Linked DNA regions of Schizosaccharomyces pombe. The gene in region 3 interacts genetically with the main gene of each other region. Each region holds a gene or a part of one and is shown on either strand. Other genes may lie near its edges.

Region 1 (4,014 bases), on a different chromosome or scaffold from region 3:
ATCACCAACTTTGTGAAACGATAGTTTAATCTGTTGAAGCGTTTGCCCTGTAGACTCTCCAATAGCCTTCATTATAATGCTTTCGCCAATTCCTAGCTCTAGTCCCGAGTAATCTGGGCCCAACTAATGTAAAAAAAGACGTTAGTACTGAGAAGGAGAAATCCTTTAAAACCAAACGTTCATACCTTATTGATACTTAAATACACACAGGCCAGTAAATCGCTGGGATGGTCGCGAAGAATTCCAAAAAAGTAAGTCCCCATTATATCAATGATTTCCAACCGTTTGCTAGTATTCTCTATTTTTGTGAATGCTTTTACCATTTCAGCAAATGTTGCATGACCTTTTAACTTATCATTGCGAGCATTGGACTCTAACGGTGGTTCTTTGATTGGCAAAGGTATTGGAGTAGATGCCCCAGAATCGTTGTTACTAGATACGGCATCTGAAGAAGAGGAGGATGAACCTAAAGTCTTTTGCTTTTTTGCCTCAGACACAATATTATTTTCACGCTCAACATTTTGAGTTCCAGTGTCGTCGTGGTTGTTGTGTTTCGACTCGTCGACTAATTTCACTGATTCGACCTTTCTCTTTTCGCTTGTGCTTCTCCCATCAACATTTTTGGAATCAGAAGACGATTGAGAAACCTCCACGTGCTCGCTTTTGTGCGAAGCAGAAGAAATGAAGAAGTTGCTATATGGGTTAGTCAACGTCTGTCTTCTATCTAACAAACCTAATGTCTGACTGCCTTGTCGACATCCGTATGTACTGATTGACTTGTTTAAAACGAGGAATTTGCGAAAATACTGTTCGCATAACAATCAAGTCAACGAGTAAAGAATTTCATAAGATTTGACAATAGTGAGGGTACACCTGAAGAACAAGTAACACGTGTACGATATTTGTAGTTTAAGGACAGTGAAAACGAAACCATTTTTTTCTAAGTCTATATAGATGAAATTAATTTTTATGATTATAACAGGATAATATAAAAGCTATTTATCATTGATATAGTATGAGTGTTCCTTGTCTCATTCATAAATACTATTGACTTAATCAACTCTCTCCCAACGCTCTGTACATCATAAATACAGCTAGAAAAAATGAGAAGTTGAATTGTATAGAAATGCTTTAGTCATACCAGAAATGAACAATTGCCTGTATCAACGAACGTAATAGAAACAATTTGGAAATACATTGCTAGAAGTTTATCAACTAGATTCTAACCATTTAAAAAAAAAAGAAATTTAAATCAACAAAAATTAAAATAAATTCCTAATAGGCTTATTCGCTAATGTGTAGTGGTTTGTAGTTTTTTTGCAAAAAGCTGTTCGCACTTGTTTTTCAAGTGGATTTTGTCCTTAAATTTTTAAAATTTTTCTTTTTCAAATTTTTTATGAAATGTTAATTCGAAAGCAAAAACTATCATAAAATTGTTTATAACCATCGCTTTATTTACAAAACTCATAGTCAAATTTCGACAGCCCGGCATTACTAAAAAAACATGTTACCTGTTACAGGTAACATTCAATATAAACATTCAATTTTTGATTTTTGTTCTTTCTCAGAGAATATACCTCTGCTAGCACTTGGAGAAATTTTTTCGGTTCTGAAATCTTTGTTTTCGTTGAAATCTTATTAGAACCAAGTTCTCCATTTTATATAAATTAACACTTCTTGTCTCTAGGTGGATAAAGAAACGGATTGACGATTCTGTTCTGATCCTTAAATCCATATTTTTATTTTTTGGTTCTGTTTATTTTTTCTTGGGTTTGTTGTGTTTGGAAAAAAACTGGTGTTTAAATATATTAAGCATAAACTATTATAAAACTTCATTTTATTATTTTATCATTCATATTTTTTTCAATTTCGTTTTGAAAATTTTTTATTTAAGCCGAATTCTATTAAAAATACTAAAATGTATCAACGATCTTTGTTTCGCGGTGTCGCTCAGGGTTTAAAGCGCTCCTCTGTACGTTTTCAATCTACCAGCTCTGGCTCTTCAAATGGCAATTTCTTTCTCCGTCATTGGAAGCTTTTGAGTGTTATTGGTAGTTTTACTGCCGGCGTTGCCATTTACGACATGTCCGATGTTCGTAGTTTTATCCATGGCCGCATTGAAATGCCTCTCTTTCATGCTTTCACCACTCCTGAGTTTTCTCATCGTGTCGCCATTCTCGCTGCCTCTTGGGGTATAACACCGAAGGATCGTGTAGCTGATGATCCATCTCTTGCCGTTGAAGTTTGGGGTAAGAAATTTTGCAATCCCATTGGTCTAGCTGCTGGTTTCGATAAACAAGCCGATGCTATCTCAGGTTTGTTGAACTTCGGGTTTTCCTATCTTGAAATTGGCTCGGTCACACCTAAACCTCAACCTGGTAATCCTAAACCACGCTATTTCCGCCTTAAGCCTGATTTGTCTGTAATCAATCGTTACGGTTTTAATTCTATCGGCCATGATGCCATCCTTGCTAAGATTCAAAAGCGCGTTCGCAAATACATTGCTAAGACATCTCCTCAACTATTAAAACAGTTTGATGCAAATCCCGCTTCTTGCACTGATCCCGCTGTCCTTGGCGTACCTCGTAGTTTAATTCCTAACAAGTTCCTTGGTATCAATTTAGGCAAGAATAAGAACGGTAACGAGATTGAGGATTATGTTGAAGGTGTTCGTACCTTTGGTAACTTCGCTGACATTCTTGTCATTAACGTTTCCTCTCCTAATACCCCTGGTCTTCGTAACCTACAAAAGAAATCTGCCCTCTCAACTTTATTGACTGCTGTTGTCAGTGAGCGCAATAAATTGAACTCTCCTCATCCTCCCGTACTTGTAAAAATTGCACCTGATTTGAACGAAGAAGAACTCACGGACATTGCCGATGTCCTCAAAAAGTGCAAGATTGACGGTGTGATCGTTGGTAATACTACCGTTCAACGCCCTAAGACCCTCAAATCAACTAGCCATGTTGAAGAGACGGGTGGTCTTTCTGGACCTCCTCTCAAACCTATCGCATTAAATACTCTTCGCACACTTCGTAAGCATCTTTCTTCCGATATTCCCATCATCGGCTGTGGTGGTATTTCTTCTGGCAAAGATGCTATTGAGTATGCTCGTGCTGGTGCAACTATGGTTCAAGTTTATACTGCTTTGGGATATGATGGTCCTGTAATTGCTCACAAGATTAAGCAAGAGATTCTTGCCGAGCTTAAGGGCAAACGTTGGGTTGACATAATTGGCAAGGAAGAATAGATTGGGATGTCAGTATATTTCTTTTAAAGAAAAAATTCAGTGTCGTTTACTGGTACATTATTATAGTAAAAATTTAACATATTATAGAAAATAATACTCACGTTCTTCTAATTAAATATTATAAATGAATTACCTTTTGTTTTGCATACCTAAGTTTGCTTGTGAAACTATTATGTCGCTAGTTTAATTCTATTATGAAATTAGTCATTCAGGCATTTCTTAGTAATCTCGTAAATCCTGCCAGTCTTGCTTGTCTTACATTTGTGAATACCTATTTACTTAAATCTGATTTAAAAAACATGCAAACTTATATAAACTTAGAATGAATGACAAAGTTACGTTCTTGTAAGATCGTCGCCGCTTTCTGACCATTACGCAGACATTAGAAGTTCAGAGCTCAACTTCCCATAAATCAAAAAAACCATGTTTGCTAAAAACTTACTTTTCAGATTTCCAAAATGTATAAGGATTAACGGTTACAATAATATGAGAAGGTCTCTACTGCAGAGAAATGGATTTCAAGCAGGCATTTGTCGAAAATTTGGTACTGCAACCAAAACTGATGTATGGAAAGGCCGTTTTTTGCCTATTGTATCTGGCGTTGCAGCTGCTTCTTTGACTGCTGGATATTTACTTGGAAAAAACACTTCAAATGCATCATCGAGTCAAGATAATGACCATCCTGTTGTAGGCGAACATGTCCATACGGAAACACAATGTAAGTATCATATGTTTGAAATGGCTATCTTTTTCTGTACGATTAT
Region 2 (4,714 bases), on a different chromosome or scaffold from region 3:
TGCAGTATACTAATACAAAAAATATACGAAAGTTGAATTCAACTTTTACAATGCCCCATAGAAACGATAGAAGAAAGTCTGCTTCAAAGGCTCCTAATGCCATTATTCATGGCCGTGTTGCGAGTAAAAAAACCATAAAGAAGCAATTAAGGAATGGAAAATATGTAAGATTAAATCACCTTTAAGCATTTTAAAGAAATACCTAACCAATAATTTAGTCGCTGAAACGTCTTGCTGAAAAGGGGATCCATTTAGATGATATTGCAATGGGTAAGAAATTTTTTTAATAGTGTGTTTTACAGGAAAGCTTCATTTCCACCGTCAATTATGTATCTAACAAACGGACATAGAGATTGATAATGCCAGCAAGAAAAACATTTCCAAAGATAAGTCTTTGAATGAAAATCTATTTGGAAAAACCGAAGCCGGGAAACAAAAGGATTTCATGAACATTGAGCCAACATGTAAAGGAACAATTTTGGGTGCTCCTCCAGCATTATAAGCTTATTTTTATTAAGCTTTATGGGTCTTTAGGGTTGATTGATAATAATATTAATACAATATGTTTTAAATATACGGTCCACACATATAGGGTTTCAACCAATGTGTTATCTATTTTGGAAAAAAAAAATTTGTATCATTGTATTAAGTCATCAAGTTGCTATGGTACTATGGCTTTTTCATATAAAAACATTTAATCAGCGTAATGTTTCAACATTCCAGAAAACAATTCCTTACATCTCACCTTGGCGCCAAGCTTGGCACACAAAAGGAAATGCCCGCTTAGTCTACGGTGTAATGAATAAGTTTCTTCTGGAGGAGGTTGAAGTCTTAAATCAAGCATAACAGGAATCTGCTGCTTAACCCTCGCAGTGATCGTTTGATCGCCAAAGTCGTAGACGTCAGGTGCATCAAATGCAAATGGCTCCGCAAGAGTGAAAATTGAATTTATATGCGCATCTATCATTTGAGCAGACTCATGATTATTTAAGTATCCTAGTTCAACAGATAATTTTTTGCACTTTTCTCGGTTACGATGAGCCGCCGCTAGTAAAAGTCGGCAATATTTCTTGATGAACTTTTCATCATATTCAATTGATGCTCCAAAATCTAGTAATTCAATTTTTTTTGTTTTTCCGTTATATAAGAAGTTAGACCAATTAGGGTCGGTTTGCATAAAATGGTATTCAGATATCTCTCTTAGACATTGTTTCGTCAGCAGATATCCTATATGGTTCCTTGTAGCTTGTGAATATTTTTGTTTTCCCAAAGCAATACCATGTAAGTACTCTAATGTAATTACGCTGGGTCCAGATGCTTCTCGAAATACCATTGGGACTTTAAAATCAGAATCATTTTTGAGCAACGATCCAAACCTTTCAGCAAAAGCGGCCTCTCTTTCATAATCGCATTCCCATTTCAGTTCTTTCCTTGCGGCTGCTAAACTGTTTTCTAAAAACAATCCTTTAGGAAGTATTCTAGAAGCTTTCAACAAATAAGCTAGGTTATTCAAATCCGAGTCAATGGAAGACATCACCCCAGGATATTGAACTTTCACCACAACTTCCATGTGATTAGATGCTAAACGAGCTCGATGAACTTGTCCAATTGAAGCTGCCGCCATTGGCTTTCTGTCAAATTCTGAATAGTGAGTCATCCAATTCTTTCCAAGGTTTTTAACCATAACTTGCTCTAGTTGCTTTTCTGGCATGGAATGTGCTCCATCACGTACACGCTCCAAAATTTGAGAAACACGTGGGTCAATCAGCTTACTATCCTGGAATGAAAGCATTTGACCCATTTTTAAAGCAGCACCACGCATTTGAGTCAGTTTGTTCACCAAAATCTCTACATTTCTTTCATTCAGTAACAAAGCTCCATCGTCTTTGCTGATTCCCCACATCCTCTTCATTTTCTCCCCTATAGCCCCAACCGACAAGGAAGTTGCAAGGCCTCCGTAATGCCATAGACGACTCCATTGGGACGAAGGAACTTTAGAAGAGGAAAGTATAACCGGAGACTTATTCTCAGTAGAGTAGCTTTCTTCAATAGAGGATTCAAAGTCTGCTGTAAAATTGGCATTCGTTGCAGGGTGTGATTTTGTTACGTCTTTAATACTAGAATCAATCGCTGAAGGTTTAGCAGGACTTATTTCATCTTTTTTATTTGGTAAAATCGGTTGCGAAATAGGATTTTTTATTTCTTTAGAAGATTGCTCCTGCAAATGTTTGACACCGGAGGCATCTTTCTGAACATCTAAAGAATTTCCCAAAAGCGTTCGTTTCGTATCTTTAGAAGATAACCCCAATTCTTTTATTTGGGAAGCATGTTTGACTTTACCGTTTCTGTATTTCTCCAATAATTGAACGTGCAGGTCACTTGTGGACCTTTTCGAACTGGTTATTTTCGATGCATCATACAGTTGTTTTGCTGTAATTGACGAAGCTTCAGCCTTTAAATATGATTTGGCAACATTTCGAACTGCGGATCCTATTGTTATAAGTTCCCAAAGCCCTGAATTAGCCATTTGTTCTGATTAAATAAGAGAAAAATAAGCCTTGGAATAAAAAGTGCTTCAATTTCGAATGGAAGGGCTTTCAAGTGAATTTATTTATTTCAAAAACCAGACATTTGATTATTTTCATTAACTAGCCACTGTTATAATGGTTTTATGAATCCAAAAATGATAAAAGTTTATGATGGTTCCTAGCGGCGGTTACTTCAGTTAAGCAATCGAACCATATGTATGTACTTGAAGGGACGCGTGTACAGTAAATTAAGGACAATCAATAATTTTTTATATTTACTTTACATACAATAACTATATAAATAAAAGACATAAGATGTTTGTTCAGAGAGATTCACGCCAGTTGGATTAAACCATAATTAAGAAAATAATTGTTGAGATCACGCTTGTAACGTACAAAGACGGATCATTCTATTTTTATATTTTTACGTTGCACAATAGACCCTTCGATTAGCAAGGATGGAGTAGGGACACTTTTGCTGACAGGTAAAATAAAAGAACCATGACGACCAACCCGGGCATAATTTGAATCAAAATCGTACCCAGTATTATCATTTTTACCTTTACTATCGTACAAACCCGCAAATGATTTATAAACATTCCTCTTAGCTAAAGCAGCTATAATTTTATCTTTAGACTGATTGCTTTGGGTTAGTCTGGAAAGTAAAGATGAGTTAAAACCAGGTGGAGGAACCGGATACCAATTCGCAGGAGCAGGTTTAGCTATCGGTGTACAAGTTTCCATAAAACATTCTACTTCACCAGACTTCTGTGTGTAAGCATTTCTTGTACGACGTGCTTCTTCTTTGACATTGCCATTTCGAATTTTAATGAAAGACTCTGGTGTGAACTTGAAAGGTAAATGTGAATGCTGCAAATGTTTGAACATATCTTCATAATTAGAAAAGCACTTTTTACAGTTAGAAACTTCACAATTAAGCCGGATGTTGTTCAAATGGCCGCGCAAATGCATTTCAAACTCTTCTGATGGCAAAACCATATCACACGAAGCCCATAGGCATTTAACCACAGAACAACTTTTCGGATGATGTAACAATAAAACGTGTTTTATAAAATTTTCCAACGAATGAAGATTGGCTAAACAACCCTCCCATTGACAACGGTATTCAGCATAACCTTTACTCAACATGTTAAAGGCTTTAAGTACTTTCTCCTCAAAGGGGTCAATTAACACAAGCGGTTTACAAGCCTTTTTACTAAGCACTGCTTCGTTCCCTGCTTGACTAAGGCTCACGTCAGCAACGCTCGTAGAAATATTCTCACGCAAATTCAAAGACTCGGAGTCAACGACATTGCTTTGATCGCTTTGAGCACCAGCATTAGTAGGTACTTCAACGGGCATTGATTTAGGAAGCTCAGTTGTAATATGAATTGAGGAAATCACATTTTTATCTCCACCGTCCTCTTTAATTTTGTCGGCAAATGGAATATTAGAACTTCTAAAATCTTTATCAATGGTATCAAAAGATCTTTTTGCTGGGATTTTAATTGAACCAGTATCATGGAAAGGTTGTTTTGAGGACGTCGATTCAATTCCAAAATACTCTTTGCGCTTAACAGTTGAAATATCCTTGGTTAAGTTGATCGACTCACAACTTGATAGTTTCCCAGAAATTAGTGGCTTCAATGCGCTTCTGCTTTGTTCTTCGCCAGAATTGTTTTTAGATACATCATTGCCAGATATCAGTTTGTCAAAATCATTAGTACCAGAATCTTTAGCCTGTTTTGTTGAAGACGCATCTTCTTTAAGAGTCTGAAGATTGCTGTCCTTTGAAGTAAAGTAATCTTTACGAGTTGAATCGATAGGAGAAATCTCGTTGTCACTATGAAGAAGAGATGAAACGCTAATGTGAGTAGAAAAACTATCCTTCGTCAATGCTTTAGAATTTGGTGCAGCATGAACAAAAGGAGACTTATCGGGTACAGCCATTCGATTGCTAGAAGCATCCCCATCGCTACTAATACTGGAGAGCTTAGAGTTAGATGGTTTAGGAAGCGAACAGTCCGTATTGTCACTTATTACATTATTTTGATCCACAGAAAACTGCTTTTTAGGAACCAATCCCGGACGTATGGTTTTTATTTCTGCAAGACAAACCTGAGATTCTGCAGAAGGACTTAAAAATGTGCTAGTCAATAATTCTTTTTCATTCGAATTTTCTATTT
Region 3 (3,638 bases):
AAAGAACGTTATGTTGCCAAACATCCTCCTACCAAGATTCCTCGTAACATTGCCAGTAAGTAAGAATTGATCCTATTGTTAGCAACTTTGGCTTGTGTTTCATACTGACAATGCATCTTAGTGTTTTTTATTCTTCTCATGTCAGGAGGAATTATTTTGGGAATACTTAGATTTCTTTTGACGTTTTTTTCTTAAGAACATGTGATTGGAGCAATTTTAAAACCTATTTGCACCGATATTGTGTATTATACTCCGAGAAAAAGTATACTAGTTTTGAATAATAAAGCTTGTGATATTGACGAAACTTTTTGACATCTAATTTATTCTGTTCCAACACCAATGTTTATAACCAAGTTTTATCTTGTTTGTCTACATGGTATTTTACATTCATCTACATACATCTTTCATTGGCTTTGTACATAGTTATCATTACAAGTCTAAAAAAATTCACTCTTTTCTTATTCAATGTCAATCCAAGAGAAAAGATTGTGGTAATGTTGTAGGAGCATGTTTAATAAATTACTATAGCAAATTACTTTTTATTCCCAAGGTGTTTATCTATAATAGTTAATATTTTAGTCGCTACATAAAATTTTACCAAAGAGTACTTGTATACTAATTCTAAATGCCTTCTGACATAAAACGCCTAGGAAAACAAACGCAAACAAGGCATCGACTTTTTCAATAACCAACCAAAAAAATTTTACATTAGTCTTTTTTTAATGCTGAGAAAGTCTTTGCTGATATGCCTTCCAACCAGCTTCTCTATATCTCTTGGCTTCGACAACAGGATTACGACCAGCTCCATAGACTCCACGACCAACAATGATGATATCGCTACCGCAGTTTACAATCACTTCTTCAGGAGTACGATATTGCTGTCCCAGCCCGTCTCCTTTAACATCCAAGCCGATACCAGGGGACATAGTTATGTAGTCGCTTTGAAGGTTAGGAAATCGACGACCAGCTATAAAGCCAAAGCAAAAATCGGTATGCTTCTCAAACCATTCTAAGGTTTTCTCTGTGTAGGAACCAGTAGCCAAAGAGCCTTTGGAAGACATTTCAGCCAAAAGCAAGAGACCACGTCCCAAAGGTAAACCAACTTCTTTGAGGCCTTGTATAATACCCTCGCCTGGCACTGTATGGCAATTTGTGATATGAGCCCAAGAAGCAATTTTGTACACACCAGATGCATATTGTAGCTTGACGGTATTTCCAATGTCTGCGAATTTGCGATCCTCAAAGATAAGAAAACGATGCTTTTTACCTAAGGCCACCAGTTTTTCTACCATATCCTGGTCGAAATCCTCGACAACGTCAATATGTGTCTTGATAACACAGACATAGGGTCCAATTTTATCTACCAATTCTAAGATTTCGGATTTCTTCGTCAAATCGACCGCGACTGACAAGTTGCTTTGCTTTTCTTCCATCAAAGCCAACAATTCCTTGGCAATGGGATTTTTCATCCCCTCAGCTCTAGCTGAATAGCTTTGAAATACTCTAGCATCCATAACTTTGCTTTTAAACCTTTAATTTCGATCCAAGCAAAAAAGAGGTTCTTGGTAGGACAATACGGTAAGAAAACACGACATGTGCAGAGATGCCGACGAAGCATAGTTAAACTGGGATGGTAAAATCAATTAAGAATTTATAAAGACAAAATTGTATAAGTCTCTAAAACATCTTAATTATACCTCACAGAACTATCTAAAATATATTCACAAAGTGCAAACATTATCATGAAAAAGAACCATTTTAATTTAAAGCAAGGGCATTAAGGCTTATTTACAGAATTTCTTACTTTTGTAAAGATTATAAGGCTGATTATCTTTTTCACCATGCCAAAAATTACACAAGATAGAATGGATGTTTGAAATTAAACGTGAGTATACAAACAAATACACTAGGTAAATCGAAACATTTTTTTCTCCATTAAGTAACAAATTCCTATTTAGAGAAAGAATGCTGAGTAGATTAAATAATCTATACAAACTTTTTTAACACAAATGCATACATATAGCCAGTGGGATTTGTAGCTAAGCTTCAGGAGTTTTATCCATTTAATGTATGGAATCAAAATTTAAAGCTTCTGTCAAAGTTTAACAATATTTCTTTTGGTTTAAATCAAATCTTCCATGCGATTAAGAAGATAGATGCTGAACAAAAGAAGCACATGGATAACCACAAAAGCAGTTTGCTCATGGGTACAACCATGAATTTTTTTTTCGACAATGATTCAAAGACCAGTATATCCAATACGCATCCTAGAATCTAGTCAAAGAAGAACCTAAAGTAGAGATGCAAATGCGCTAAAAAGAGTGGATATAAATTCAATATCATTTATAAAACAACTTCTTCCATTAAAAATTCCTTGGGCAAAACAAAAGTTCCAATCATAAAAAGTTAATAAGTTCTGAGTTGTGTCAAATCTGACATGGCATTCCTCAATAATGACACTCACTCATTATGTAAGCATCGAAAACATATTAAAATCTATACAAGCTGTTTTGTCATTACGGTCTGGCATCAACTTTTTTAGAGGCGGTACGAAGATGATTTTGCACACGGATAACCAATTCTTCATGAGATCCGCTAGTTTTAAGTGAATTTTTTTTACAATACTCAATTAACTGTTTTTTTGACCATTGACTAGGAGGACTTTGAGAAATGGAGGATGAAGCTGTCTCCCTGGAATTGTCTGTGATAGGACTAACTACAACCGCCAGGGAAGAAGCAGCAATAATTGCAGCAAACGATAAAGTTAAGACATTAGCTATTTTCATCGAAGATGAAATACAAATGAGTAAAAAGAACCCAAAAATGAAAACTGTTATTAAAAAGGAGATTTTGAAAATTTAAAGGTTGAGGTAAAGAACGGTTGTAGAAGACGAGCATCTAGAGGAAGACGCCCCCAACTGTGGCCAACGTTTTTCATTACCCAAATTCATCTGACATTGATTATGATACATTGAAGGTGTGCTTACATCTTTCTAGTCATTATTTTGATACCACCACTTAGAATATCCATTTCAACTTCTACCGATTTTCAATCGTGTTACGAAAACTTATTGTAATCGATTCAACGTTTTACTTGACATTAATTTTTTAAGCATATCTACTTTCTTATAAAGAATTGTACTAGTACTCAAACAATGAGTTGTTAAGATAATTGTGTATAAAATTTCATAAATCTAAACATATATCATCACAATGACAAAAAAAACTCAAATATGGAGTGCTTTATCTCCATCATTTCAAACGCCCTTAAATAAGGAGCTTATCTTTTTGATTCTAAGTTTCGTTCATTAAAGGAAAAAAACATTCCCATCAAAACAATTAGTACAACAGTTCATCAGATTTAAAGAGAGCTAAGGACCTTGTCAGCGGAGGAAATATCAACATCGGTGACCTCGTTCTCAATGAAAACCTTGACAACCTTGCCATTCTCGACAACAGCGGCATAACGCTTGGAGCGAAGAGGGCCCAAAAGACCGCTAGCGTCGAAGCCAGCATCAAAGGCCTTGGTAAACTCTCCGTTCCAGTCGGCGACAAAGTGAACACCACTTTGCTCACCACCGTCGAAAGACTTCTTCCAAGCCTTGGTGACGAAAACGTCATTTACGGCAACGACATAG

Evidence for each region.
Region 1: of ura4 (region 3) and ura3, a mutation in one rescues a mutant of the other (synthetic rescue), as found in Schizosaccharomyces pombe (one study listed by BioGRID).
Region 2: of ura4 (region 3) and coq8, a mutation in one rescues a mutant of the other (synthetic rescue), as found in Schizosaccharomyces pombe (one study listed by BioGRID).

The regions. Positions count from the first base shown.
Region 1 is NC_003424.3:1,384,746-1,388,759, reverse strand, and holds ura3 (mitochondrial dihydroorotate dehydrogenase Ura3), read left to right. Parts: upstream 1-1,614; 5' UTR 1,615-1,918; coding exon 1,919-3,250; 3' UTR 3,251-3,403; downstream 3,404-4,014. Other genes in the region: ATP-dependent DNA replication ligase Cdc17, read right to left, coding at 1-123, 186-693, 734-816; disulfide relay system thiol oxidase subunit Mia40, read left to right, coding at 3,674-3,968. UniProt on the Schizosaccharomyces pombe protein: In the de novo pyrimidine biosynthesis pathway, catalyzes the stereospecific oxidation of (S)-dihydroorotate to orotate with reduction of flavin and the transfer of electrons to ubiquinone, which is part of the respiratory chain.
Region 2 is NC_003423.3:2,999,174-3,003,887, reverse strand, and holds coq8 (ABC1 kinase family ubiquinone biosynthesis ATPase Coq8), read right to left. Parts: upstream 2,715-4,714; 5' UTR 2,528-2,714; coding exon 695-2,527; 3' UTR 612-694; downstream 1-611. Other genes in the region: ribosome biogenesis protein Alb1, read left to right, coding at 51-164, 219-270, 351-502; SHREC complex intermodule linker subunit Clr1, read right to left, coding at 2,934-4,714. UniProt on the Schizosaccharomyces pombe protein: Atypical kinase involved in the biosynthesis of coenzyme Q, also named ubiquinone, an essential lipid-soluble electron transporter for aerobic cellular respiration.
Region 3 is NC_003421.2:115,062-118,699, forward strand, and holds ura4 (orotidine 5'-phosphate decarboxylase Ura4), read right to left. Parts: upstream 1,565-3,638; 5' UTR 1,515-1,564; coding exon 720-1,514; 3' UTR 528-719; downstream 1-527. Other genes in the region: protein tam14, read left to right, coding at 1-55, 122-195; protein new25, read right to left, coding at 2,517-2,786; thioredoxin-related chaperone Pmp20, read right to left, coding at 3,362-3,638.